Linked DNA regions of Mus musculus. The protein of the gene in region 1 purifies or fractionates together with the protein of each later gene. This does not show direct contact. Links are inferred from orthologs where the notes say so. Each region holds a gene or a part of one and is shown on either strand. Other genes may lie near its edges. The genes, in order: Klf11 and Sin3a.

Region 1 (11,360 bases):
AGGTGGATGACCACCATTTACAAGGTGTGACACCAGGAATTCTCTATCTAGTTTAGACGATAAAACAAGGGGTGGGGGTGGGCATCACGATTTAGCATGCTTGCTGCTCTTACATCACACATACAGCAGACCCCAGGACTTACAGTGGCAACTCACAATCACATGTAACTCCAGCTCCAGGGGTCAAATCTACAGGCCGCTGCGCTCACATGCACATACTCACACACAGAAACATAATGGGTGTGGCAGCACACCTCTTTAATCTCAGTACTCAGGAGGCAGAGGTAGGTGCATTTCAAGGCTAGCCTGGTGTATATAGAGCAAGTTCCAGGATGGCCAGGACTACAGAGAAAAAAAAAAAAACCACTGTCTTAAAAAACCAAAACCAAAATAGGAGTAGTAGTAGTGATAATGATAATAATAATTTAAAAATCCTAAAATTGTAAAAACAAAGCAGAAGTGAAGAAACAAAGGAAGTGGTGGTGAGACACAATAACTCCCTAGGGTCAAAGAGGATGGATATCAACATACACTCAACCTTTGTGGGGCAGGCCCTGAAAGGATCAATAGGCAGAGATGGGAGAGGGCTGAGGCTGATGTGTGGAAACAGACAGATGAGAACAAAAGAGCCTGTGTTTGCTCTGACAAGGAGACAAGTCCAGGACAGCTGTAAGGTCCGAATCCTAAAGCCGACCTCGGCTTCAGCATATGAAGGGACAATTCTTTCTGGAATGTCTGCTTCTGGAGTCTGCCACAGCCGGAGTACACTGTGCTAATTAGAAGCCAGCCTGCATCAACCTATTTTGAAATAAAAACCTGCAGCAGGAACTCTCTCCAGGCCTTTCCTGTGCTCGATCCAGACATCCTAATGGGGTGATGTTTCAGGGTTGAGTGTAGGAAGCTCTACTGCAGACGTCTGTACACATGCTCACATGTAAATACGTGATTCTCTAAAGTCAGCTTTAACAAGAAGACTAGACTATGTAACCACTAAAAAATGCCAAACACATCAACTCACAGAGCACCTAAGAAACACTTGCTCTACTCTACCAAGTGATTCCTGCCAGGTGGCGCCCAGTGTCCCTGCTGGACAGCATGGCTGGCAGTCACCAGCTCACAGAGCTGTAAAACATCAACTAATGAGAATGTGCAATGCAGTTCTCAAACCACCCCTTTTCAAGTGCATATGGCTAGTGGCTATCCTAATGGCCAGAGAATGTTAAAAAAAATAAACTCAGAAGTTTATAACTGTGTGACTTAACCTAAAACTCTACAGTTTCAACCGTACAGTTAAAACACTCTATAGTATGAACTTTGAGGGTCTGAACACACCTCCAGTCACACCGATGTTTTTACTAACGCCTACTGTAGTAGGGTGAAGAGTATCCTAAAGCCATCTCAAGTCCCCATTCTCTCCTCCCTCCGGCAGGTACCTGCCTCTCTTAAAGGGGTCTCAGGGAGCTTTCCTCCCTTGAGCTGTGTTCCCATCACACCAGGCACCCCACTGTAGAAAGAATATTTTATGTCTGTATGGATGTGGTACCTGTCAATAATCCGATGGCCTATGGCTTAGGTAGGAAATAGGAGGTAGGACTTCTGGGAAGAATTCTGGGATAGAGCCAGGCGGGAGATTCACCTGGGAAGATCTACTATATTCTCTGGCCATTAGGGAAGCCACTAGCCACATGCACTTGAAATGAGCTGGTTTCACTGAGAACTGATATATACATCCTCAGTAGTTGAGGTAGACATGGTACCCGAGCCATGTGGCAGAATGTAGGTTAAAATAATTGGGTTATCTAAGTTATGATCTAGTCAGAGTAGAGCTCAGCTATATGGCCAAGGTATTTGTAAACATAATTTGAGTCTGAGTCCTATTTCTGGGAGCAAGGGGCTGAGAGAAAGAACCGGACTTAACTTCTACACCCTACCACTTACCTGTGTGAGTGCGAAGATGAGCTTTAAGGTGGGAACTTTTGAAGTAGGTCTTCCGGCATCCTGGGAAGTTGCAAACATAGTTCCTCCTTCGGGAAAAGTCTACCTGAGGGGCACAGTTCTGGCTGGAGGCAAGGAACACTGGTGCAGGGGCAAGGGGCAACAGCTTGGTATTTCCAATGGCCATGACACTGGATGGACAGGCAGCAGGCTGGGGGAAGGTGTTCTGTGGCAAGACCAGCATCACAGTTCCCTGAGGCACAGGTGGGCCCATGAACACAGGCTGAGACATTGAAGCAGCTTGGGGTAGGATGGGCTTGATAGTCCCTGCAGGCAACTGGGTAGGAGGTTTCAAAAAGGCTGAGAACAAGCCATTCTGTCCAGCCACAGGGATCATCTGGCAAAGGACAGGGGGACTGGATACAGGGACAGAAATCAGAGGGGTGATTTTCCTTGACAAGTCACTTTCAGGATTCTTTGGTAAGCAGGTCTGAACAGCAGCGGGCCATCCTGTCTGTTGACCTTTGTCAGTGGGGAACGAACCACCGGACTTGTGCAAGCAAGGCTGACAGGAAACCAAGTTAGTGACGAGTAAGCCATTTGCCAAGCGTGTGTCCTGCAAGGCTTCGAGGTGGTCCAGCAAACGCTCCTGTCCTTCTCCGCTGTCGGATGCTCGTTGCTCTTGAGTGGGGCCAGTTGGGAAGCGCGTAGGAGCAGGACTCTCCCCGGTGTGACGGATCACACTGGTCATCACAGCCCTGCAGGAGGACCCTGAGGCTGGCTCCAGTGGTTCCCTCTTGCTCAGTGTTCTGGGGCCCCCAGCAGGGGATGGGGGGAGGGCAGTGACCATGCATCCTTTGGAGTTAACTACTTGGGAAGGAACAGGGGTCCCTGTTGACGGCTCCGTGAGCTCTGGGCTCTGAGGAGGAGTTATACACTTTTTAAAAGAAAAAGGGAAAGAAAGAACAGCACCACATCAAAGGTTGTTTTGGTCAAAAGAGCAGCGAAGATATTATCTGACCGCACTGCTCCCGCTGCCTGCGAGGGGACTGCACAGACTGACCCAAGGGATCTCTGGGGACCCTGCTGTTCCTGCTTCTCCCAATACGGACTGTCCCTACTCAACCATGCATATGTCTTGTTGAAAGGAAGGGTGGTGTCAACCCTAGGTCATGCGCGTAACTACTGAAATAAGCAATTTAACTACAAGGACTGCAGAAAGAAAACGGATTCTTACTTTAAAATAAAAGCGCTCATGACGTTTCAGTCCTTAAATCAAGAAAGCACTGGTTCTCCTGAGCCACACCTCTCTGTGCTGGCTCCCAGCAGTTTCTTGGCCACCTCATAAAAGCCCAAGCCTGAAAACCCGAGGGCTACTATGAGCCAGCCTGGACTTCCTCCAGTGCTCACCGCCACCAACTCCTCCAGCAAGTCCCTAGCCTGGGCAGTCAGCCCTCAGCTGCACTACTGCTAGCATTCGATCTGACTTCTCCAACCCGGAAGCACTTTCACTGGTGCTGTAAGTTAAAACCTAAAAATAAAATACTGGTTTACCAACTTCAAGTTACACTAGTTGGCTGTCACAGGAAGGCAGAGGTGGCGTGTCTCCACTAAGCTAAAGACTGTCTGATGTCAGAGCACATGTGTTCTCGTTTCCCACAAATCCTCATCCTAGTCTGGGACCACTCAAGACCACACCTTAAGACTCCTAGAAAACAAGCACAATACACCTTTCTGCAACCACCTACAGGCTTTGTCCCTGAGCACCTGTCAGCAAGTTATGACCTACCACTGAACAGAAAGCACATTTAAGAGAGGAATTTTCACACTTTGGCATCCACATAAAAGGAGTACAGGCAACCTCTTGGCCAGCATCATTTGTTAATCTCCGTCCAAGTTCTCCAGCGCATTTTACCTATGCTATTCTAGGCAGTTCACAAAAATGCTTCTCTCCCCCACCTCCTCTTACCAGAGTTGAAAAAGAATGGAAGTCCTTTGGTAGATCAGGTGCAGCTGTGTCCATAAGCACAGCAGTGGTGACGTCACCAGAGTCAGAGACAGGCGTGAGGGGTCTCATCTGGGACCTCTGACCCCAAGAGCTCATGCAGACAAGAGCTTCCACAGCTTCGATGTCCGTCTGCTCCAGGACGCTGCATGTGGACCTTTCGCTGTCATGCCGCTTCCTCTCCAGGATCGACTCACAAATGTCCATGATGTCAGCCTAAAGGCAGCACAACACAGTGGCTCCTTAGTTCAGGAGAATAAAGGGACGATAACCCTGACAGGTATGTGGGTCTACCATAGACATGTGCAGCACCCTTAACAAAGCAATGGTCTCTGTCTTGGAATAAAAAGACCCAAACGGGACTCTCAACACAACTTTGTTTTCAAGCTCTGAAGACTGGGCTTGGTTGAGAAACAGTTTCCACAAAAAACAAAACAAAAACAAAAACAAAAAAACCAACAAAAACAAAATAAAACAAACAAACAAAAACCCGCCCCCGATTCTTAAAAAGGTTCCAAGGCGGGGCTATTGCTCAATAGTTTAATGCCTGACTACCTCACGTGTGCACCTGAATTCAATCCCCACAGCTATAAAATAAACAAAACAGGTTACTAACTTCTTCTCTTGGCTAAATGATGAAGATTAACTCTAGAGGTAAACACCAGAATGGCTAGCAGGAAGGTGTTGTAGGAAAGGGAAACAGGCAAAGCAGCAGATGAAACCAAGCAGCCAGTTAGCTGGTGGGTGAGATCATCTAGCGCAGGACCAGAGTGGTGTCCCTAAGAAAGGAAACACTACCCCAAGCTTAATTTCCCAGTGGCTGGACCTAGGTTCCATGCTAGCACAGTCCTCCGTGACTGCCTGCTTCCTCAGCAGACTCAGAAACATTAAATCACTTGTTATGAGAACTAGGGAGGAGGTCAGGTGAGAGGAACAGCATGAGAAAGCTCAACCATAGTCCAGGAAAGGTGTCTCCTCCTGTATACCATGTCACCTTTACATGCAGGAGTGGGGAGGAAGGGACTGGAACCTAGCCTGTCCAAAAGAGAAACTTAAGCCTACAGACACATATTTCCATACATATTTTCTGAGCTTCAAAACTTCCTGTCTGTCCAGATTCCCCTTCACTGAACAGGCAAAGATATGACCATAGGGGCCAGACAACCTCCTGGAAGGGTATTTTGATTATGAGCCTTCAAGTGGAATCAATGTCCAGCCCCATACTAGGAAAGAATGCGAACGTAGGTTCCCTTGAGTCCATGTAATACTGTGTTCTCACCAGGAACCTGCTCCGCACCACTTCTCTGGCCCCCTACATTTCTATCAGGTTCTGTTGCTCCACACCCTACACCTTCTGACAGAGGTCCCTGCCATGACTTCACTCAGTCCCTGGGCCCAAGCCTGCAAAGTCCCATTTTACCACACCCCTTCTCACTTAGACTCCACCCTTCGCCCAGCTCTACCCTTACCAGCCCATTAAGCTTGGCTGACACACCTCTTCGAACCACACTCTTGCACACTCGCCTATCAAGACACACTATTGCCTTGCTCCTCATTCCGTCGTAACCCCATCCAGGCACTCTGGCCACACCCTCCTGAGATACCTTTACTTTGGCTCCACCCACAGCCCCTCCCACTGCACTCCTACCAGATGCTCTCACCACACTCCCTCCCTTCGGCTTAGCCTTTGCCCCGCCCCTAGATAAACTCTCACTATGCACTCTTACATCGGCCCCGCCCCACAGTCCTACCAGAGGTTCTCACCAAGCTCTCTAGCTTCGGTTCCGCCCTCTTACACTACTACCAGGTGCTTTCACCATGTCCTTCGCCTTGGTCCCATCTAGTTCCCCCAATATCTCCTCCAAGCACGCTTGCCCACGCCCTAGCTTTGGCCACGCCCCCATGCTGCGCCCCAGCTTTGACTCCGCCCCCAAGTTCCCGCCAGCCGCGCCCACATCCAACAGCGGTCCTCCTCTGGATTCGGGTGACGTCATGGCTGGAAATAGCCGCGCCGGGCGGGGCCGCAGCGGACCAGAGACAAAGCTGAAGGCAGGCTGCCGCGCTAACACACCCCCCTCCCCACCCTGACCCGGCCGAGCCTCCGGGTCCCTGTCCGGACCAGAGCAAATCCGCAGCCCCCACCGCAGCGAGAAGTCGCCATCCCTCCCGCGTCCCCCGTCTCGTCCCGCGCTCAGCCCCGTCACTTACCGCGCGCCCGTCGCCGGGGCCGGTGGAGCCCGGCGAGTGCATGGTGCCGTATGGCCTGCAGGCAGCAATGCTGCGAGGCAGGAGCCCTGCGTGCGGCGGAGGCTGCACGTGTGCGGCGGGCGGCGGTGTCCCGAGCGTCTGTTCCCGGCGCGCACCTCCGCCTTCCTTGCCGCGCGGCTCTGCCTCCGCGCGGCCCGGGAGGCGCGGGAGGGGCGGGGCGCCACGGAGGGAGCGGCCCTGGGCGGGGCGCGCGGGCAAACCAAAATACACCGCTCCCTGCTGGGGGCATGGCCTCTGCCGCCAGCCAATCAGCGCCAGGCCGGCAAGAAGCGGGCCAATGGGCGCCGCGGGGGGGCGCGTGATCGGAGCCTGGCTGCGGCGTGATCCGGCGGGGCGGGCGGCGGCACGTGTTTTGGTCCGGGCTAGAGGCGGGGCGTGAGGCCTGGAAAGTAGGGGAAAGGTCCCGGCGGCGGCGCGGCGGCAGTCGACCGCAGTAAGGTCCTCTTCTGCCGCAGGGGCTGCTCGCAGAGGTCGCGCGCTGGCCCCACGCCGTGGACGGATCTGGTAGGCGGGACCCACAGGGACGGCCTCACCCTGTCTCTAATTTCTTTTAAGCTGTCGTTGGCTCTTAGGACCGCATCTCTGCCCAGGAAGAGGCTTGAAAGCTGCTTGGGTTTAGGGACGACATCCGCTTTTTCCTGCATGGCGCCAGATCAAATGCTCTTCCTACTCTAATCTGCCTTCTGCTACAAAAGAACTACAGCCGTGTAGTCAGCCACTCGACATGTACCTAATGAAGCCTGCGCATCCTCCCCAGTGGCCATACAAAGGACACCCACTTGGGGTGTCCTCAGGCCTACGTGAGACCTGACCCAAATCCTGAGTATCCGTTTTTTCCCCTTGGGCCTTTAGGTGCGGTTATTCATGTACACTCATCACAAGTCTTGGAGAGCAGAGGTCAATGCATGCAGTATGTCGTGCCCACCTCCAACCTACAGTGCAGCAATAGGGCACCCCTCTACTAACCCCCTGATGCCTCACTGCAGAGCCTTGAAACTAGTGGAGGTCTGGGAGAATCATTGCTGATATGAGCAGACAGGAGCTGGACATTATGCTGCCTATTTTTATCAGACAGGTGAGCAGGCAGAGAGGCAGGCAGGCAGAGAGCCCTGTCCTTAAGCTGGTAAGGCCTAAGGGTTATAGTTGCAACCCTGATTCCTCAGTTTCACACTGGCTTGACAATGGAATTAAGTGAACCAAAGAAAGGGAGTTTGTTGAAAGTAACAGTAGGAGTGTTTAAAGGTGAATTCACATGTCTAACTACTGGGGCATTTAACACACATGGAGTTAGTCTTCTACTTGGGCCTGTTTAAATTGTTTTTGCTTCATTCCCACACTGAATTTCTGACTCCCCGTGTTCACCCTTACCTATAATGCCTCCGCCCCATCCAACGTCCCTACTGTCTCCTGTTCTCTCCACACGTGGTTTTATGGCGTATGTGTTGGAGAATAATCTCCAGAGTAATATGTTAATAGTATTTGGAGAGGGAGCCTTTGGAGGGTGATTGGGATTAAGGAAGGGTTATGGGGTCTTAAAATTAGAGAGACCAGCTAGTTTGCTCACTCTACCTGACCACGTGACACTCTTGTGTCATAATCCAGCAGGAAGACCCCCTTCACACATACACACACACATATACACACACACATACACACACACACACACACACACACACACACACACACATGTCAGAGGGTGAGCAGAATTAGCCTTCCTGGATTGCAGAGCTCTGAGCAGAATGGACTTTTTACATAGGAAGTGGAGGTGTGTGGCTCAGTTGGTAAAGAGCTTGCGTCAAGAAGACCCGAGGTCCACCCCTAGAACCGACATAAAAAGCTAGGCATGGTGGTACACACCTGTAATCCCAGCACTGGGGAAGTCCAGACAGGCAGAAAACACTGGGCTTCACTGTTCAGTCAGCCTGGCCAAGTCAAGGTCCCTACACCCAATCCCAATGAGACACTCTGTCTTAAACAAATCCGACAGAACCAGGGTGGGTGGCTCCTAAGAAATTACACCAGAACTGGGCGGTGGTGGCTCATACCTTTAATCCCAGCACTTGGGAGGCAGAGGCAGGCGAATTTCTGAGTTTGAGGCCAGCCTGGTGGGTGTACAGAGTGAGTTCCAGGATAGCCAGGACTACACAGAGAAACCATGTCTTGACACCCCCCCCCCAAAAAATGAGACTGGAGGTTAACATCCAGGCTCCACATGGACACACACACACACACACACACACACACACACACATCCAGGCTCCACATGGACACACACACACGCGCGCGCGCGCGCGCGCGCGCACGCTATATATAAACTTCCTGGTCTCGGAAGTGTTGTTATAACAGAAAAATAAGACAAGCAGCCAGGGCTCCTCTGGGTCACCTGTCCCATCAACTGCTGTCTCCAGAGTTCAGCATTTGCTGTGACATTACTGGCACGTCTTCCTTGGACAGCCTCTCCCAGCATACTTGTGGACTCAGACTGACCTCATGCCCTCACTGCTGTCTCTGCCTCACCTCCTCATACACTCTGCAAGCTCTGCAGTGTTTCTGTGTCTTTGCGTACTGCCTGTCTCTTCTTGGATGGGGAGCATGGCTGATCTATCCACATCATCTCACAGTAACTGTTGACTGAATGCATCACACCAGCCCTATCAACCCTGCTGGCTTCTGTCTGGAGCACCTCTCAGGTACCTCTCGCTCTCATCCAGCATTCTTGGGAGTGAACTTGTGTTTACCCTAATTTGATGTCCTCGCTCCAGCAGGGTGCCCTGGCCATTCTGCCTCTTGATCTAGTAACATGGTTCACCTTCAGCTCCTCCCTTTCCTGTGTTTGTTCTTTCACCAATGACATCACCGTTTCTTCTAAAATACTGCTCCAACTGTTCCCATCACTCACTCCTCCCCTTGCTCAGGCTGCTATACAGACAGACCTGAATGATTGTCACCTTTTCCCAGCAAAACTTCCTACCTCCAGGCTGTCATCTGCCTCTCATTGCTGGAAGGATTTTCCAAAAGTGGACAATATACAGTCCCATACTCAAAACCTCTGGACATTCAAACTTACCCAGGATTCTTCTGGCCCTGACTCCAGTGCACAGGAACCCCCATCTTTCTCCACTGCTTCCCAATTGCTCGCTCTGAGTCTGCAGTATGACCCCTGGCAACTGCTCAGTACAAAGCCATGTGCTTGGGCTTTGGACCCAAGTCACCTCTTTGGCAGTGTGAGCTTACCCAAGTTCTGTTGTCTGCCTGCTTCATTCTTACAGGGTAGAAGGCAATGGCTCTCCTGAGACCTGGAAATTCTCTCACTCTGCACTGTGTTTCCTGGACATCAGGGATGCTTGGGAGCATGGTTCTTAAGCCACAAGACTCCAAGTCTACCCATATCCAGTCCATCTTCCAAACAGCCAAGCCGGCTTCTGTTGCTGCCAAGCTCCTGACCTTATTCATATTCAAGAGGATATTGATCTTTTTATAAGCTAAATGACTTCATAAGACCCCCATGATCCAATGCTCAGAGACAGTGTAGTCCAGCAGGTAGGACTGGACATAGCTATAGAGAAGAGCTTTAGAGAGAGCAGTGTGCCTTAGGCCAGAAAGCCCAACCCCTGTATGTGCTTGCAGTCTATATGTGTGCACGTTGTCCTGCAGGGAGGATTGCATTCTATGAACCTTCTGAGCCTGCAGACCTCACATTATGTCTTGGAGGTTATTGCACATTGGTCCATAAAAATCAACCCTGTTCCTGGTAATGGTTAAATAACAGGCCATTATGGATGTGTTATGAATTGTTTAACACTTATGGTTGAATAGTCAGGACATCTAGATCGTTTGCCACTTCCCAGTATATCCTGCTGGTCCACTGTTTGCCCACATGTAAAGAGAGCTACAGGATCAGTTATCAGCATAATTGCTAGTATTAACAGCTTTGAGGGCTCTGCCTTCCCTCTTTGCTTTCTCTCCCCTCTCAACTGTCCGTCTCTGTGGATTTTACTGGAGCATAGCATGGTTACAGGAAAGCACAAATGATAGGCACAGCTCAGTGAGTCTTCACTGTACCACCAACAGCCAGAAAAAGAAACACTATTCCTAGAAGCCAGAAGCCCCTGAGTTTCCTCAGATCACCATTTCATCCTCCCTCACCCAGCATAATTCTTATTATGGCCTCTACGGGCATTGATTACTTGTTTGCGTGTGTGTGTTTGAAACCTTTACAAAGAATTTACAGCATGTGAAATCTGGCTTCCTTTGCTTGATATGCTGTTACATAGAGTTGGGTTTTGTATGTGTATGTATGTGTAGTTGTTTGTAGTTGTTTGTGGATGTGCATGCATCAGTGTGCATGCATTGGAGACTGGATGTCAAGCTGGAGTGTTGTACCTCAGGAGCCATCTGCCTTGTCTTTTGAGACAAGTTCTCTCACTGGGACCTGGGGCTGGACAATTAGACTAGATTGGCTGGCCACAAGTCCCTAGGAACTGCCTTTTCCTTAGTGCTGGGACTACAAGTGTGTGCCAGTTTTTTATTGGGCAGCAAAACTGTTTTGACTGAGCTATCTTCCCAGGCCCGGTGTTTATTTTCTTCTAGAAATCCTTATTGCTATAGTGCAGACCTTAGGATTGTTTCCAGTCTGATGTTATTAGGAATAAAACTGCTATAATAGTCCTGGTACATGTGCATGCACTCTGCTTTCTTTTCTTTTCTTTTCTTTTCTTTCCTTTTCTTTTCTTTTCTTTTCTTTTCTTTTCTTTCCTCTTCTCTTCTCTTCTCTTCTCTTCTCTTCTCTTCTCTTCTCTTCTCTTCTCTTCTCTTCTCTTCTTTTCTTTTCTTTTCTTTTCTCTTTGAGACAGGACCTTGCTATATAATCTGAGCTGGTTTTAAATTCATGGCAATCTCCCTGCCCTAGCCTCAAACTTCACCAAGATTCTTTGACTCTTTGGAGACAGACTGTATTGAGATTACAAGTGTGCACAACCATAAATTACTTTATGGTTACCCATACCCAGCTATTTAATGGGTTTCTACCCACACACTTACTAAGTTAACAGGGAAAAAACAGAATCCAGAAAGCCCACGGAATTTCTTTGATGTCCACCCCCAACTTTCTCCCCTCATATTTTTGCAAAGCCACCTTGATTTTCAGTGATTG
Region 2 (11,260 bases), on another chromosome or scaffold:
GCTATTACTAAAAAGTAAACATGAGGCTGTATCAAATGATACCACAAAACAAAAGAACCATGTTTACTGCTATTTAGGAAGAAAAACAAAAAGAAAAGGCCAGCAAAGCTGTTACCCACATTATTAAGGATGAAAAGGGGGCATTGACTCTAAATGGCTACTACCACTAGAGCCTCCAAAGGGAGTGATATAGCCTGCGCTCTAAACATCCTGACACTTAAAACCTATGGAGGGGCTGGAGAAATGGCTCAGTAGTTAAGAGCACTGGCTGCTCTTTAGAGGACTTTAGTCCTTTGAACACACCCACAATGCACACACACACACAAATAAACCCTAAAAACAAAATCACAAACATCCTAAGGAGCTACAGCCCATCAGAATTCAGGGTGAGCAGACAAGCTCTGAAACATACTGTCCACACCTCTGCTTCCACGGGGTCATCTGAGTTCTCCTCTTCTGTGTCCAGGAGCTCAACAGTCAGCTGAACTTGACCTTGACTTTGAATGAACATTAGCTGCAAAAAAGAAGCAAAGTGTAAACAAAACAAACAAACAAACAAACAAACCCTAAAATTTCAAGGCTATAAACCTAGATTGTCACAGTGTAAGTAGAAAGGTAAATTATACAATTTGTTCCAAAGGAAGAGATATGAAAGGTACTGAAAAGCTGGTGATGGTAAGGTAGAAATGGGACTGCAGAGATGGCGGAGTGCTGGGTGCTCTACTTGAGGACCTGGATTTGACTCCCAGAACCACATGGTCTAACTCAATTCCAGGACAGGACAGAGGCCTCTGGCCTCTGGGGACATTCCATTCAGGTGATGGACAAACACATGAAGAGAAAGCATAAAAATCATAAAAATCAATCCTAACCAAAAAAAAAAAAAAAAAAAAAAAAAATCAGTAAACATTTGCTAGTACGAGTTTGCTAGTAAATGGTTGCTCAGGTTACATGGCTCACACCCCAGTCCAGCCTGTACCAGTCTAGCCAGCAGCACTGGGGTCCACGGTTCGATGAGCGGCTCTTACCTTGAAGCAGTTCTCATCTGACATAAGCTGCTCTGCCTTCCGCTGGTATGCTGACTCCAGAAGGCTCCTTGAAGTCTGACTGTTGAGCTGGCCTCCCGTGGCTCCGTTATTGTTTTCTGCCAAGTAAAGATCAGTAACCTGCACACAGACCTCGTCGCTGACGATGTGCTGTAGCTGGAACAAAGCACAGGCCGGCCAGTGAGCCAGGGCCGATTCTCCTGTCCGCAGGCAGCTTACAAACATGTTTTGTTTTTTTTTTTTTTTTTTAATTTAAGAAGCTAAGTACTATCACCTCCCAAATACTGGGACTACAGGTATGCACCACCTTACCAGGCTCCATGGTGTGTGTCCCCTCTCCATGTACTTTTAAACTGTTTACAATCTTGTTTCACATGTATTTCTTATCCAATCTACAATTACCCTGTGAACCATGTTGGAATGGAGGGATGTCCCATTGTGAGAAATTTTTTTGTGTTAAGACATTAAAACTTTTGAGACTTGGAGTTAAGACAGGTATCTCAAAGAATTCTGAAAACAAGATTCATCTGATTTTATTTTTAAATAAATATTTGTTATTTTTCTTTATGTGCTTTGTGTGTAAGCTTGTGGTGTGTCAGCTATATTATGCCTGGTGCCCATAGACAGAGGCTGGAAGAAAACACTGGTTTCCCTGGAACTGGAGTTACAGGAGGACATGGACGTCCACGTGGGTGCTGACAAGAACTACAAGTGCTTTTAGCTGCTGAGCTACTTGCTAGGCTCAATCTAGGATTCCTAAACTTAAAAGTTGCAGCAGACACCAGGTATGATGGCCCACACTTTAATCCCAGCATAGGCAGGCAATCACTGAGCTCAATACTGGTCTGGTCTACATAGTGAGTTCCAGGACACCCAGGCCTATGTATAGACCCTGTCTCAAAAACAAAAAAGCAACTGGTGCAGCGTCACCTGCCCCCATGAATTCAACTAAAGAGCAGACCAAGCCTCAAGGTCAAGCTCCTGCACCAAGGTAGCGTCCTCACTAGCAGGCCACTAATTAGTGCATTCACACAGAATAACCCTCAAATTGTACATGTTAACTCTATTTTTTTTCCAAGACTGAGTTATATGAAACCCAGGACTATGTAAAGTTATATCCTTGGCCTAACTGCTCATTTTTCATAGAAGGTAAACGTGTTGGAAACTGTGAACCTGTTTTGTTGTTGAGGGGAGGAGACAAGGCTTAGCAGAGACTCAGTGCCTTATATTAACTCTACAAAGGCTGCTGGGACCAGCTCAGGCCACAACAAATGCCACAGTGGGTAACATCCATTCCCACTCTACTATTCTTATTGTGAAATTAAAAGTCCCCTAAGAAATGGCGCAGAGGGTAAAACTGTCAACTTCAGTTTAGCCCTGAAATTCACGCAGTGGCAGGAGAGCCCACTCTCGTAAGTTATTCTCCGATTTCCACATACACATACAGCAAAACAAGAAAACCTTTAAAGTCAGGAAATGAGGCTTGCCTAGCAAGCACAAAGTCTTACATTCAGTGCCTAACACCAAACCAACTGGTCCCTAAAAAGCAGAGAAGCAAAAATGTAAATTTCAATACTGACTCATCAATTTTACTTAGTTAATCTCATGTTATCATGGTTACTACGCCATTCTATTTTTTAGGAAGATACAGTCTTTGTGAAGTATAAAAGACTTGGACAATACCATTGAAGTAAGGAATGTTATGACTTGATAAAGACAGTGAAAGCGTCACAGAGTTTTAAGTGGGGGAGAAGAGTGAGAAAAGTCAGTCTAGCCAAGACATGAGTTCTCTCCGTGTGACTATGTACCACTGACCCTCTATTCACATCCTCTTTTAGGTATCTGCCTCTCTCAGAATCTTTAGAAATGGAAGCATTACAAATCCAGAGACAACGATGGGGTATGTACAGCCATACATTAAGTATTTCATCAGGTAACCAGAAATGATGTAGGGATGATTTTTCCAAGATTTTTGTTGTTGCTGTTAAAGAGAAGCACCGCATGGGAAAGCTAGGTAATACCAAGCCCAGAGGTGCTCAAGTCTCGAGGGATGGAGAGGCCGGAAGTGTATGCTGATATGCTGAGTGTCCACGTGCAGAGAAGCACTAGAGTGGAGAAGCCTGGGACGAAGGGAAGCGTTCCTAGTCAAGGCTTCACAGGATGACATTGTATCATGGTTCTGTAGCTAAGATGACTGAGCCTGCCTACTTAGAATTCTTGGTTTGGAGAGATCTTATGTATGGGGAACTGCCCTTGAACTCCCTATGTAGCCGCGGATGGCCTTCACATTTTGTTCCTCTGGCTTCTTCCTCCAAACGCTGAGGTGAGTAGTGCCACACCCATTTTATGGGGTACAGAAAATCCAACCCAGGGCTTTGTCATGCTTGGCAATTAACTCTACCAATTGAGCTAAATAAAGCCCCAGCCTGAGAAAATTAAGACGAATATATGGCCTGACCTTGATATTTGTTCAACCAAAGGGACCACCAAATAAAAAGAAAACATAATCAGACAAAACTCACTGAAGAGTTCAAATGAAAAGCTTAAACATGTCTTAAAAACTCATGGTTGTGGGTTCTGGAGGCAACTCCCATTTCCAGTTCTTAAAAATATGTTGACAGCGTTAACATAAATTTATAACCAGATTCTTCTAAATAAATGAATTATCTATTTAAAAATAACATAGGGTTTATGAAACATTTATTTTACTGGCTTTTCCTACTCCTCAGTAGGGAGGCCAACAATGCCGCCACAGAAACCCCGAGACAAGGATGCTCCCTGTCAGAAGGATGACAGTTAGAAAGTATCACATTGGCTGGGCGTTGTAGTTCACACCTATAATCTCAGTACTCAGGAAGTACACAGGATTAGTTCTCAGTCAGACAGTACAACATAGTGAGATCCTGTTACAAACAACTCCACATATTTAAAATTTCCAGGAACAAAACATAAAAGCAACCACAAATCTAACACTGAGTCTCAGATAATGAGGTGGGCAGAGCACTGTACAGGACTTTTAATACTAAATGAGGCAAATAAACAGAATCACTGTCATCTATGGAAAAGGCTAAGCTACACCTATGCTTTCTTCTTGGATAAATAAAGAGGTAGGACTGTGTTCTAGACAAATGGCTGTTAGGACAGGCTCTGAGGAGGGGCACATTGAGAACCTAAGAACCAATTCCAGGGCTGGAAGAGTCCAGTTCTGTGAGCTGGAGAGAGACTTATTGAGCTATCCTCTCTGAGCAGTAACACCAGACTCATAAAGTAAACAAAATGTACAAGGTTCAGGAAATAAAGGAAATAGAAAATTCAGAAATCCCCTGAAATTTAAATTAGAAACCATCTCCACACCCATCCCCACCAAGGATGAACTTGAATTTCTGATCCTCTTCTAAAAGGAGAAACAATTTCTGGGGAAAGTACTCTCTCCCATAGGTCAAGCTGCCCTCTGGCTGTGCAGGAGCTTCAAAGACTCAGGTTTTGTGTACAGTGGGCTTTTCACTGCACTGCCTTTGGGTTGCTCATGTTCCTTAAGTGACCCCAACACACATAATGGCTCACTAAGACTTAACTAGAATCATTTCTTTGGTTTGCTGTCAGTGTATCAAAGGGATGTTTGTTATTGTCTCTGAAGGAGAAGCCACACAAGACTTCATGTTAACTTGGTCCTTTCCACTTCAAAGACATATGTTTATAAACACTGCTATATATATGGTTAAGCTGCTTTTCCTTTTCCCATAGAAATCTTGCTTTTCCTTTGTGACTTTTAGCTGAGAACACCTTCCCTTGGTAGCGCTAACCTCCAACACACCCTCTCACCTGTCTGACGATGCTCTGGATTAATTTGTCCATAGTAAAGGCAATGTAGGCATGAATGGTGAACATCTCTCTCAGTGAATCTTCATACTGTGATGAGTCTATGTTGCCATCAAGCAGGCTCCGCACCATGTCCAGGAAAGCTGGGTAATAATCTTCTACATCAACATCCACTACAGGAAAGATTAGACAGGTAAGACTGTACTCTGCTAAGACAAGCTCGAGGACAGAGAATACAGAATCCCACAGCTGGCCTATATACCATCTGAAAGGACAAAATACCAGATATGCAAAAACATGTCCAACTTAACCCACTACAGAGATGACATCTAGTAGGCAGCTATAATCACCAGAACTGTCCATCGAAGAACCAACAGTGACTCTGCAACTTCTAACAGTCGCTTCCAGCACAGACTGACTGCTAAAAAGACACTTTGAGCACTGCTGAGTTCTGTCACCTGAGAGCAAAATATCCCAAGAGAGTCCTTCAAGTTGCTGGCTCCTTCACTTACACAAAACCATTTCACAAAGGGGACAGTTGCTCATGAGTGTACCTCAATGAAGAATAAAGTATGGACAAGAGAAGACAGGCATAGGTAGATGCTACCACACTTGGAACTCTTGGCTACAGAAGTTATTCAAATTAACCCCTCTATGAAAATGAATAACTCTGATTGTATCACAGTCCCTTTGCTTAAAATAGATTTGCAACACTGAACTCCAGTAATTACATTAGATGAATTGTATTTGTTGCACATGAAACATTTAACCAGTAGCTGGAGTGAATCTTACTAGTAAAAGGACATAGTAACTAAGAAGGGCACCAGGAGCTCATGTATGTATGTATGTACATATGTATGTACGTATGTATGTATGTACATAATCCCAGGGGCAAGGGGATTGCTGGGCCAGCCTAGGCCACAAAACAAGTTCTGGGACAGTGAGCATTTTATAGCAGTAGACCCACTCTCAAATACAAAAAAAACTCATTTCTAAGTCTGAAAACCAAAATAGTAGAACAAAGAAGTTACTGGGGCTTGGCTTTATTTTCTTGACCTCTTTTTTTGACTAAAGTATGCTCATTATAGAAAAATTTAGAGCCATAAAATTCTATTTGTGGGGCAGGAGATACGGTTCAGTGGATAAGAGCCCCTGCCCCAGCACTCATGTGAAAGCCTGGCTGTCACCACCTGTCACCTTAGCACTGTGAAGGTCAGCAGAGAGGAGGATCTCTAGGGGGCTCAGTGAGACGCTGTCTCGAGAAGGAAGGTACATAACACAGTGGCCATAGCCTTTTCTAGCCTCCTTGCACATAAGGCACATGCACCCCACACAAATGCAGATTCTCATTTGTGTTCCTTTTTGCATACAGGTTGCACATCAATAAAAATTTGATCAAAAATGTTAACTACAAAAAGTACACTTACTGATTACTGGCCATCCATTAGTAAGGAGAAATTAGAAAGGGGACAAATGGGGTGGATCTTACAGGCAAAAACGAACAATCACTGCTTAAAACAAGTTACTGGTTTGAGTTGTGTCACACTACATCACTTTGTCTAAGCCCAGGAAGCAGGGAGCTAGCCTTTAAAATATACTAGGATAAGAGTCCAAACCACAGATTTATAGCCACAAACTATGACTGGCATGAAGTTGGCACTATCACTCAAGAATAAGCTGCTTCAGCATAAGTCCAGGATAAGACAGTGATCAAGCCCAGATTTATATTTGTAAATTCTACTTGTTTCTTCCAAGCTAGGACTAAAACAGATAAAGGCTTTTCAAACAGATTCCTGGTGCTATTAGTTCAACAGATAAGAAACTAGGTTTATACACAGGACTCCTACAGCAGTTATTTACTATTTCGTGAAGAGCAAAGAAGGGAAGCCTGTGAGGATGTGTCTGGCTCACAGGTTAAGCACCCAACTTCAGAATGAAAGCATTATGTGGAAGGAGGCGGCAGAACCCAGCATACAGCCAATGATAGCTAGCTTCTTAAATGAGCCTCTGGGCTTCCTTTCCCTTGAATCCTGTCTATCCCTTTGCCTTGTCTCAAACCATCTTGAGTGCCAATTCCTCTTCAGAAATATCAGGAATGAACCAAGAAGCCCATTAAGGAGATGCTAACACACATCTGAAAAGATTCCTTATGTGCCATAAGCATAACAAGGAATTTCTATGTTATGAATAGAAAGAACTGTGACGTTTCTTTCTCATCTGAACCACTGCTCACTAACCTAGCCAATGGATCCCACGTCCCTCATGTGTCCACAGTGCAAACTAAACACCTCACATGACCATGAACCGGATACTGTACAAGGTTCCATGCTTGCATCTTTCTTAAGCCCTCAAGCAACCACAGAAAGTGACAAATACTGCCTCCATTTTTTTTTTTTTGGGGGGGGGGTTTCATTCATGGGTTCAAGGAAGGTTACACAACCAGCTAAGTTGCAGAGGTAGGATACGAACCCTAGTTCCAATCTAAGGACTAAGTGTACTTCAAGGTAAGGTGGCCTTGAAGCCAGCCATCTACCCCATGCATAAAGCTGACAGTCTAAGCACTCACTAGGTTCCTTGAGACGTAGTTGTATGGCAGGACTATCACTCTTGTCTCGCTTTATGCCTAGCACCTCCCGTTCCCATTCTCTCTCTCGGTTTTCTTCTTCAATTTGCCGTTCAGCTTGGGAACAAATCCGTAGCAGCCTCAAGCAGAGAATTTGATGCAGTCGCATAAAGATATACCAATTGTTATTGACATAGAAAAGGTTATATACTTCATCCATCCCTCTTAACTTTTGAGCTGCTGTGTTACTAAATAGCAACTTGGACTTAGGGGGGCTGCCCCCAACACCATTGTGCTTCTTAGGTGCTCCTGTTGCTTCATCCACATCCATTTCTTCCTCCTCCTCTTCTTCCACATCTGAGAGATCGCCTCTCTGAGCAAACAGCAGGTCAGGAATGAAATGGTGCATGATTTGCTTGATTTTGTATTTGTCCTCTTTCTGAATGCCTGTTTGCCTCTTCACATGGTGGATAATCAGAGCAGCAGCATCTTCTAGTATCTGTTTGTCTTCATAGGCAAGAGAGAGGTGCGGGCCAACAGGTACACCAGCGTTCTCTTCTGTAGCCTGCTCTTGCCTCTGATGGAACAGACATAAAAGCATTGTGTGACATGTATACAGCAACAACAAACCTACAATACTATACCAGAAATGCTGAGCAGTGGTGGGAAATGCCTTTAAACTTAGTACCCAGGAGGCAGAGGCCAGCAGATCCATGAGTTCAAGGCCAACCTGGTCTACAGAGCAAGTTCCATGACAGGAAGGGATACATAGAAATACCCTGTCTCAAAACAAACAAAGAGTACATTAGCAGCACATTTTTATTATTAACCAAAATGCACTTTAGGCACTGTGGCACCTATCTGTAGTTACATCCTTTGGGAGAATAAGCCAGGAAGGGTACAAGATTCTAGGCCAGTTTGGGCTTAGACAGAGACATGACAGTGGCTACTTAATCTGAAATACAAGAGTTAACCTTAATAATGTTTGTCTCTCTTCCAAATATTCATAAGTACTATGGACAAATTGGCTTGATATAAAAAGATTAGTGCCTTCTATATATTGAAGACTTAAGAGAATTACCTTTAAAATTCCAGATTTAGCACTTAAAATACTGGGGTAGAATTTCTCATGTAAGCTAGAGAAAGTACCCAAGGAGCTAAAGGGATCTGCAACCCTATAGGCGGAACAACATTATGAACTAACCAGTACCCCGGAGCTCTTGACTATAGCTGCATATGTATCAAAAGATGGCCTAGTCGGCCATCACTGGAAAGAGAGGCCCATTGGACTTGCAAACTTTATATGCCCCAGTACAGGGGAACGCCAGGGCCAAAAAGTGGGAGTGGGAGGGAGGGTATGGGGGACTTTTGGGATAGCATTGGAAATGTAAATGAGGAAAATACCTAATAAAAAGTATTAAAAAAAAAAAAAGAATTTCTCATGTAAAGGTTAACAAATTATCAAAGATAAACAATTAAGTGTTTGTTAAAGTTCACTTACTATTTTTATTCTTTAAAACTCAGGGCCAGCTTTTGAAAGCCTGATAGATGTCACTTATGCTTCCTACCTCCTAAGGCAGGTCACAAAAAGCAAGACCAATTTCACATTTATCTCTGAGTCTTTGCTCCAAGTGCCATCCATACCCCTGCTAAGTGAGCAGAATAACAGGGTTACTACCACTTTTTAAGTGAGGTAGAGGAGATGCCAGGTCTTGTTAGAAGAGTGTACATTGGGCTCCCAATGGAGGAGCTAGAGAAAGTAGCCAAGGAGCTAAAGGGATCTGCAACCCTATAGGTGGATCAACATTATGAACTAACCAGTACCCCGGAGCTCTTGACTCTAGCTGCATATATATCAAAAGATGGCCTAGTCAGCCATCACTGGAAAGAGAGGCCCATTGGACTTGCAAACTTTATATGCCCCAGTACAGGGGAACACCAGGGCCAAAAAGGGGGAGTGGGTGGGCAGGGGAGTGGGGGTGGGTGGATATGGGGGACTTTTGGTATAGCATTGGAAATGTAAATGAGCTAAATACCTAATAAAAAATGGAAAAAAAAAAAAAAAAAAAAAAAGAAGAGTGTACATTAAAGGCAGAATGGTAAACTGGGAAACCAGAGGAAGAACTGAGTGAATCGGTGAGTAGTAGGTTTAAGACGGTAGACCATGATACAAGAACTGGCAGTTCTTAGTTAACTGTAGAAGTCAAAGCAAGGCTGAACACAAAAAAGCAGAGCTGAGGGAGCTGTACGGTCAGCCAGCTCACCTCGTCATAGATGCTCTCGATCTCATTGAGTAAGCTCTTAGACCTCAAGACCTTAGTGTCGTTCTGCTTGAAGTTGATGCCTTGGTGATCCAGAGACTTCAAGTAGTACTTCTCATTTTGCTCTCGCCAGACCTTGTTGAAGCCTCTCTGAGCTTCTCGCCACTCTTCTTCTTTCATCTTCAACCTAGCAGGTGAGAAGGGATACAAGTACAGCATGTGGGAATCGAGAGGGTTAAATGCGGGAGTGTGTCGCGGGCTTACTACACTTGATGAAAACTCAGACCTATGCTGTTGGTGCTTCAAAAAATGTCCTTGGTGTTATCCAAGTGAGGTTTTTTTCTTAAGGGAGCTTATTTTTGTGATACAAGTCTTACTGGAAAATGTATATAGACCACACTAATCTAAAAATCTATGGCAATCTGCCTTCTACTTCCCCAATCCTGACATTATAGGCAAAGAAGTCAAATTTGGCTGCCATGAATATTCACAAAGTGAGTGGTATCACCAATGGGGTTTTTAAGAGGGAGCATGAAACCATTTTTGAGACAAGACCTTATTTGAAAATTTGGATGACTTAAAATTCATGATGTAGACCAAGCTACTATCAAACTTACAGCAATCTTCCTGAGTCTGCCTCCCTAATGTGAGGACTATAGGCATGAACCACATCTGGTTTTGGGGAGTATTCTCAAAAAACTAGTTCTCCCAACTAACTAAAGCAACTTGCTTCTTTGTTATGACTCAGAATCTTTACTGTGCTCATGGAAACGCAAGTTTCCTAGAGAGGGCATGTGGTGAGGGAGGAAGATTGCAGGTTTGAACTCATTCTGAGCCATCACATACACACACCATACACACCCCGACACATACACACATCACAGTCCCTCAAACGCCTGCGGTCTGGGGTAGGGTAAAGTATTTCCCTATCAAGCATAGTATACAAACAGTCCTAAGTTCCCTTCTACCAACAGAAACAAAGCCCAACCCTGAAATGTGAACGCACTACACTCTACCATACACTCATCAGGCTTTCTCTGTGTGAACTCAGGACTCATGCATGATAGGCAAGCACTCGACCACCGAGCTGCACCTCAAGTCTTTCACCCTCACCTGTCAACATCTGTTCCATTTGTTCCACAAAACCCCTAACGTATGTTCTGCCATTCTACTCTATCCCTAGTGTTGAGCTACTGAGGAAAGAACTGAAATTCCAATTAGATACTCAGGTAGAAAACTAGAGCCCTATTTAATGGGACACTGAACCTGTCACACAGCACACAAAAGCCAGAAGATACATACCTTTTAAGGACAATCGGAACAGCAATGGAGGGGTTCTTCCTCAGGCCATCGATGATATCAGCTGCTTTGTCAGCATATATCCTCTGGAGTGCTTTTCGATGGATGACTTCGGACGTGCCTCCAAGGGTGTTATCCAAGCGAAATTTGGCTTGTTCCTCAGCAGACAAGCGAGAAAGTTTTTTCTGTATTGCTTCTAAAACCCGGATTGTTGCAAGATTGGTCTCAAGAACCACATCAAGCTTAAAACAAAAGAACAAAGAGGGTCTCAG

The links.
Region 2: the proteins of Klf11 (region 1) and Sin3a purify together in Homo sapiens (affinity purification with western blotting, with the first as the bait; 3 studies listed by BioGRID). This does not show direct contact. The link is inferred for Mus musculus from reciprocal best matches to the Homo sapiens genes KLF11 and SIN3A.

Annotation. Positions count from the first base shown.
Region 1 is NC_000078.6:24,646,355-24,657,714, reverse strand, and holds the start of Klf11 (Krueppel-like factor 11), read right to left. Parts: upstream 6,345-11,360; 5' UTR 6,191-6,344; coding exon 6,149-6,190; intron 4,157-6,148; coding exon 3,905-4,156; intron 2,873-3,904; coding exon 1,939-2,872; intron 1-1,938. UniProt on the Homo sapiens protein: Transcription factor. Activates the epsilon- and gamma-globin gene promoters and, to a much lower degree, the beta-globin gene and represses promoters containing SP1-like binding inhibiting cell growth.
Region 2 is NC_000075.6:57,107,324-57,118,583, reverse strand, and holds part of Sin3a (paired amphipathic helix protein Sin3a), read right to left. Parts: intron 11,231-11,260; coding exon 10,992-11,230; intron 9,877-10,991; coding exon 9,693-9,876; intron 8,006-9,692; coding exon 7,432-8,005; intron 5,039-7,431; coding exon 4,869-5,038; intron 1,203-4,868; coding exon 1,029-1,202; intron 515-1,028; coding exon 422-514; coding exon of another isoform or gene 413-421; intron 1-412. UniProt on the Homo sapiens protein: Acts as a transcriptional repressor. Corepressor for REST. Interacts with MXI1 to repress MYC responsive genes and antagonize MYC oncogenic activities. Also interacts with MXD1-MAX heterodimers to repress transcription by tethering SIN3A to DNA.